Macaca fascicularis: one gene and its partner. The main gene of each other region encodes a partner of the protein of the gene in region 2 in a complex. Links are inferred from orthologs where the notes say so. Each region holds a gene or a part of one and is shown on either strand. Other genes may lie near its edges.

Region 1 (3,575 bases), on a different chromosome or scaffold from region 2:
GGTGGTGGCACACACCTGTAATCCCAGCTACTCTGGAGGCTGAGGCAGAAGAATTGCTTGAACCCAGAACACGGAAGTTGCATTGAGCCAAGATCATGCCATTGCACTCCACCCTGGGCAACAAGAGCAAAACTCCATCTCAAAAAAAAAAAAACCAAAAAACCAAAAAACAAAAACGGGAGTGACAGCTCTTGCTTGTAAAAATTAGAAAATAACAGGAAAGGCAGCTGAGCACTCGAGTGACTCGCAGGCTTCAGTGACGCCATCTCCTGGCGCGGTTCACGTCCGATGCATGAGCTGACTGTGGAGAAACTGGAATCAGCCTGCATGGGTCCGTGTCCTGGGTCCGTGTCATTTGCCTCCCTTGGGTCTCCCTCAGTGCTGCCTCTCTCCTGTGACCTGGCAGGCGGGTCCGCCTGGGGAGCTGTGTTCTTCATGTGCTTCCTGGTTCTCCCAGGGTGTTCAGGATGCATGATGGGTGACCGCACCCTGGCGTGGGAACCAGGAGGCCTGGCTTCCGTTGGAGGCTCCACTGCCCCTGGTGTGATGGGGCCCGTCTGCCCTCTCCAGACTCCTTCCAGCTCCGTCTGTAAAGTGATGTGGCCGGAAATGATCTCTGAGGGTCCCTACTGCAGTTGGAGGCAGAAATGCTGGGAGGCACCGGGGATGCTGCTTTTTGGGAGTGGGATGGGTGGCGGATGGAAGCAGTGGGTGCTCGGGTTTGTGCCCTGGGGAGACTGACCCCTTGTGGGCCTCAGCGTCCTCATCTGCAGGAGGGCTGTGACTTCCTCGCTCGGGGCTGCTGTGCAGACAGAGCAGTCACGTCTGAAGGCACAACAGGTGCTGAGAAAAGGGCGGTGTCGGGGAGCTGTGCCTCCATGCCTTTTGGGCCTTTGCCTCAGTTTCCCTTGCTGAGGCTCTGCCAGGGGGACGTGGCTGATGCCCGTTGTCTGGGGTTGGTGCAAAGGTGCCTAGACCCTTGTGTCTTCCTGAGCACAGGGCTGTGGGATCACAGAGGGAACAGAGGTAGTGAATGGGGAGAGGGCCTGGCTGAGGGTGGCCACCTCCCGTGTGTCCCTGCAGAAGGAAGGGGAGTTCACCCTGCATGGCCGGGCCATCCTGGAAATGGAGCAATACATCCGGGAGACGTACCCCGACGCGGTGAAGATCTGTAATATCTGTCACAGCCTCCTCATCCAGGTACCCGCTGGGCAGGGCATGGGAGCTCATTGCCGGGCCCTCAGCTCCTGGGGCTCTGCACAGGTACTTCCCGAATCCTGGCTCTGGACCCAGCCCTCCTGCACTGCCGGCGCCTCCTCCCACAAGAGCTCCTGGAGGCCATCTCCCAGGACGTGTCAGAGGATGCCTCCCCACGGTGGCCTGCAGGGACGCACTGCCTCTCTCCTCCCTGGTTCTGCTGCTGGGGTCCAAGGGCTCTCGCTTACTTTATTCTTCTCAGGAAGGTTGAGTGTTCTGTGCAACCTGCATTATTTTGGCAGTTTTGTGGCAGAGTATTTGGCGGAGTGTCTCTATCAATTGCTGCTTTCCGCAGTGGTCTACTCCAGTTTGCAGGGCTTTGCAACCACTGAACCAGCGTGGACACTGATGTGTCTTTCAGTTTCTGTCGTTTTGCAGCTGTAGCTGTTTGTAATTGCAATTGCTCTCATGGGCCTCGTACACCTGTATCCTTGGGCACATGGTGATTATTTCCTTGGGCGGGGTTTCTGGGACAAAGTGCAATTTTTTTTTGAAAGCTTTTGATCCACATCAGCAAATAAGCTTCTGAAAAGCTGTGGCTGTCCACATGCCACCTGCAGGATCTGAGTGCGGGAGCTTGCCAGCCCTCGGCTTCTGTCACTGCGTTCATGTGTTCAGAATTGTTTGGTAAAACCCACTGCAACAAACAAGCAAACAAAAGACTCCCCTGCACTAAGGCGTTTGGGATTTTCAGTATTAATCTGGGGACTGGAAGATAACCCGATGCCACCAGCTGCCCATTTTCCTTGTGGCTTCCCCGGAGGTTTGCAGAACACAGAGGTGTGCACCAGCTCTGCCGTCATTGGCCTTTCTTGTTTCAGGGTCAAAGCTGCGAAACCTGTGGGATCAGGATGCACTTACCCTGCGTGGCCAAGTACTTCCAGTCAAACGCCGAACCGCGCTGCCCCCACTGCAACGACTACTGGCCCCACGAGATCCCAGGTGCGTGGGCCCTGAGGTGCTCATGGGAAGGGCTGGGCCAGCAGGATGCAGGGCCTGGTGCTGGGGAAGCCCTTGGAGGCAGGGCCCTGAAAGGCTCCAGGGTGCGTGGGGGTCCGCATTAGCAGCCTGAATCCTAGAAGCAGCCACCGCAGGAAGTAAAGGCTGAGCTGCGTGCACCGTTCCAGAGGACTTTCTAGAACCCAGCAGAAATTCCAACGCTTATGAGCATTTTGTCTAGACAAGGCTCCCTCTCTGGCAGCCCTCTCAGGAGGGGGATGTGACAGCCATGTCCGCAGCTCCCTCAGTGTGTTCCTCTCTGAATTGGGGCTAACTCTGCCTCACGGGCTGGGGAGGGTTGGCAGTGAAGAATGGTGTAGACCTAGGACAGAGTCCTTGGCACAGGAGACGTAGCTGCTGGCTCGAGCTGGTGCTCCTGTGCTGCCAGCCCCTCCGTTCACTGTCTTTCCTGCCTTTTCTGCCTACAGAAGTCTTCGACCCTGAGAAGCAGAGGGAGGCTGGTATCTCAAAATCGAACAAAAAGTCCCTGCGGTCCAGGCAGCATTAGCCGTCGTGCTCTGCTGAGGGACTGGCTGCCTTGGGTGGCCTGATCGCCGCAGCCCTTCTTGGAAGAGAGGCGTCCGTGTTTCAGGTTCCATGCGAGTCACCTCTTTCTTGTTAATGTGGACTGTCCACAGCTTTGGAATAAACTGTCCTGGAAGTTGCTGCAGCCCCTGTCTGTGTTCTCGAGCCTGTGTGTGAGGCTCTGTGTCGTGGCCTTGCCTTCTTTCCTGGAGTTCGGTCATCACTCAGAACCCCTGGGTTTGGGCTCCAGCAGGTGAAACCAGCAGAGCCCCCAGCAACGGCTCAGGACAGCTCACTGTCCTTGCTCAGGGCAGCCTTGCCTCCAGTCCCAGCTGTGACCAGCTGTCCCAGCAGGATTGGGCTGGCCCACACCTGGATGTGTGAACCTTGGCCTCCCCAACTCCCCAGTCTGGACTCTCCCCTGGCCCAAGGTGCCACTGGCCTGAATGGGCTGAGGCTGGGCGTTTGGGCGGGACACGTGCTCTCCCTCCCTGGACCCTCTGTTCCCTGTGGGTGCCCGGCAGCCCCGCCATCCAGCAGCCCCAGCCGGGACCGGGAGTCAGCCTCAATGCTTCCTCTCCCTGACCCTCCTGCATCCCACTGTCACCAGATCCTGTCCAGCCCAGCTGCCAGTAGCCCTCCGGCCCTGCCGCTGCTGCCTCAGGCTGAGCGCCAGCCCCGGCCCACACCCTGCCTCCATGCTCCCTGTGGAAGACCCCTGGACGCCCCCACTGCTGCAGCAGGGCTGTGGCCCCTGGTGAGGCCCCTGCTCGTCCGTCACCGCCTCCCCCCAC
Region 2 (3,650 bases):
AGAGAGATCCACCAATCTTCCCTTACAGTGTCTATATTTGATGTTATACATAAGAAAGTCTTCTCCGCCCAGAGACTTGACAAATATTAATTTAAGGTTTTATATTTAATGCTTTAAGACTTCTAGAATTTATTTTAGAATAAATAAATTCTAAATTTATTTATTTAGAATTTAAAATATGGAGCTTGGCCGGGCACAGTGGCTCACGCCTGTAATCCCAACACTTTGGGTGGCCAAGGCAGGTGGATCACGAAGTCAGGAGTTCGAGGCCAGCCTGGCCAACATGGTAAAACCTCATCTCTACAAAAAATACAAAAATTATCCAGGCATGGTGGCAGATGCCTGTAATCCCAGCTACTTGGGAGGCTGAGGCAGGAGAATCACTTGAACCCAGGAGGTGGAGGTTGTGGTGAGCCGAGATCACACCATTGCACTCCAGCCTGGGCAACAAGAGCAAGACTCCGTCTCAAAAAATAAAAAAACAAAAAAAGTAAAGTACAGAGCTTAACCTGATAAAGTAATTTTTAAAGAAATACCCAATATATGGTTACTTTATTGATGTATATTAGAGTGCATTTTCCTAAGTGTATTATGCTTCACAATAAAAAAAAGTTAAAAAAAAAAAAAAAAAGGAAAAGGTTTGAAAAACAAACTGAAAATAATCTCGTGCCTCATGCCTTTACAAAAAAAGTACTTTATCTGGTCAGATCTCATAGTACTAAATTATTTTAATAACCATTTAACATAAACATCCAGTTAGAAATACAATGTTCATACTGAGGTGCAGCTATCTGTGCTAGGACAGAGGTTGGCTCAGATTGATACACTGACTGATTAATTGATTTTGAGACGGAGTCTCACTCTGTAGCCCAGGCTAGAGTGCAGTGGTGTGATCTCAGCTCACTGCAACTTCTGCCTCTCCTGCCTTAGCCTCCCAAGTAGCTGGGATTACAGGTGCCCGCCACCACACCCAGCTAATTTTTGTATTTTTAGTAGAGACGGGGTTTCACCATGTTTGCCAGGCTGGTCTCAAACTCCTGACCTCAGGTGATCCACCCGCCTCAGCCTCCCAAAGTGCTGGGATTACAGGCGTGAGCCACTGCGCCTGGCCAGAATAGAATTTTTTAAAAAGACAACAAAGTGAGCTACAAGGTCAGTCTCTGTGTGCTTTTTCTTTTTTTGGTAAATTCATCAAGGAACAGTTTCAGAATTGCAGGTAACCACTATTCAAACTTGTCAAGAGACAAAGAAAGGTGAATAAAACATAAAACCAAAAAAACCTAAACCTGGCTGGGCTGGATGGCTCATGCCTGTAATCCCAGCACTTTGGGAGGCCGAGCCGGGCAGATCACAAGGTCAGGAGATCCAGACCATCCTGGCTAACATGGTGAAACCCCGTCTCTGCTAAAAATACAAAAAAATTAGCTGGGCGTGGTGGCGGGCGCCTGTAGTCCCAGCTACTCGGAAGGCTGAGGCAGGAGAATGGCGTGAACCCAGGAGGCAGTGCTTAACAGTGAGCCGAGATCGCGCCACTGCACTCTAGCCTGGGCGACAGAGTGAGACTCTGTCTCAAAGGAAAAAAAAAAAAAAAAAAAAAGCAAAACCCAATCATATTCATATGGTTTTGAAATATTCTCAAAGATAGACCAAAACATGCCCTCTCGCCAGGCCTAACTCAATTCCAGCTGAGCTCTGCCGTCACAGAGTGTGCTTCTGTCCAGCCCAAGAAAAAGGTCCCCGGTCACTGAGAAGGATCTAGAACACCAGTGAACAGAGGAAAAACGGCTATTGGCAAATGACCCCAGCACCCAGCATCTTAAGACAGAACGCTATGAGATTTTCACTCCAAGCCCCCATCCAAAATTCCACCACATAGCTCTCCTTTCATCTGTTTAATTTGGTAAGATCTCTCTAGAGGAATCTGAGACCAAAAAAGAATGAAGTGAAATCATCTGCATATGGATATAAGCAAAGTAAATAATTATATAACATATAACAGAACATTTCTTATTCAGTCTGTAGCTTTGAACTTACTAGAGTTTCAACATATCTTAACATGTCAAAGGAACTCAGGTCTGAGCGCAGCTGCTTTGCTTTCTCTTTGCCCAAATCGGAAGCCAAAACAAGAAAGTGGGCATCTAGGACTGCTTCTCTTGCTCGGGACACTATGCAAAAAAGAAAAGAAAATATTCACATTACAAAATACACGTTATCCATAGATATTTTCCCTACATTTCCAACTACTTACCAGGATTTCCCACTAGACAAACAAAAAAAAGAAAATCTCAATAGGCAACCGACCCATCTCCTTCTAAAACTTGCTCCCCTGCCCAACTCACCACAATCTCTAATGAAAGCTGACCAGTCTTCCTAAAAGCCAGCTTTCTCTCTAGTTCTCCTACTCCTGTTAGCTGAATCACAATCTCTTAAATAACCCCAGTTGAGCAAAACCCCTGTCATGTCTAATACTCACTTTTCCCTCTGACTCAATAACCCATCCTAATCACGATGATCATGTGTGCCGATGTAAGGACAATCAAATTCCCACTACATGCAGGGCCCTGTGCTTGGCATGGTGGTTTGTGAACAGCAATAGGTAAGTTGCTAACGTTGCTAACCAAAATCATGGCATGTGCTAGGCTGGCATCAGGAGGCTCATGCCTCTGTATGGCTTCACAGGCAACCCCAGCAAAGCCACCCAAATGAACAGTCTACAGGCAGCAAGTAGGGACCCCTGAGGATGGATGCTCAAGAAAGGCTTGACAGAGTACATGGGATTTAACAAAAGCTATGGAAAAAAAGATTTAAATTAATGGAGAAACAGGCCGGGCGCAGCGGCTCACACCTGTAATCCCTGCACTTTAGGAAGCCGAGGCAGGCGATCACTTTGAGCTCCAAAGTTTGAGACCAGCCTGGGCAATGCGGTGAAACTCCGTCTCTAAAGAATCAAAAATTAGCTGGGCATGGTGGTGCACACCTGTAATCCCAGCTACTCGGCTGCTGAAGCTGGAGAATCGCTTAAACGTGGGGGGCGGAGGTTGCAGTGAACCAAAATCATGCCACTGCACTCCAGCCTGGGCGACAGATTTAGGTGTTCCCAGACTACTTTTCATACTCCCTGTTGCCTGCAGGGTCTGATTAAGCAACCCCTCAGCCCCACTGTTGCCTTTTGTTGACCCTTCATCTCCTGAGTATCCTGTGCCTGCCTGCCCCATTCCCTTCTCCTTTCATTTATTTATTTATGTTACAAACTGAGACCATCAAATCCATGAATGCCAAGCGTCTATTGTTTGGTGAGCAAACTAAGGCTCCATTGACTGAATAATTTTGCCCTAAAATGTTGCTTTAAATACTGGAAATAGCTGAGGAGGAAATGATGTGGGGATAAAGAACTGACTAGATGCATAGTAAATATCAAGGGAGTGATTGAGTCAAGCAAGACTAACAGCGAGGAGACTGAGAGTCCAGGCTATGAAGGGAAGACCAAGCTTAAGAGGGTAGTGGAGGGATTTAAACAGGTGAAGGAGAAAGACCCGGTTCCTGAAGGTTTTGATGAAGTTTAGCAAATGCAGTAGACTAAGATGGGAAATGGTAAGGAGGCTTTGGTCAAAGAAGAAACAGAAATTGGAGAGCATATATAAAGTGAAAAA

Evidence for each region. Proteins that work in one complex are often made in the same cells at the same time.
Region 1: NSMCE4A (region 2) and NSMCE1 share a complex: the UniProt entries of both Homo sapiens proteins name them as parts of the SMC5-SMC6 complex. The link is inferred for Macaca fascicularis from reciprocal best matches to the Homo sapiens genes NSMCE4A and NSMCE1.

What each region holds. Positions count from the first base shown.
Region 1 is NC_088394.1:26,306,393-26,309,967, reverse strand, and holds the end of NSMCE1 (non-structural maintenance of chromosomes element 1 homolog), read left to right. Parts: intron 1-1,083; coding exon 1,084-1,200; intron 1,201-2,078; coding exon 2,079-2,199; intron 2,200-2,684; coding exon 2,685-2,764; 3' UTR 2,765-2,926; downstream 2,927-3,575. UniProt on the Homo sapiens protein: RING-type zinc finger-containing E3 ubiquitin ligase that assembles with melanoma antigen protein (MAGE) to catalyze the direct transfer of ubiquitin from E2 ubiquitin-conjugating enzyme to a specific substrate.
Region 2 is NC_088383.1:130,965,262-130,968,911, forward strand, and holds part of NSMCE4A (non-structural maintenance of chromosomes element 4 homolog A), read right to left. Parts: intron 2,166-3,650; coding exon 2,035-2,165; intron 1-2,034. UniProt on the Homo sapiens protein: Component of the SMC5-SMC6 complex, a complex involved in DNA double-strand breaks by homologous recombination. The complex may promote sister chromatid homologous recombination by recruiting the SMC1-SMC3 cohesin complex to double-strand breaks.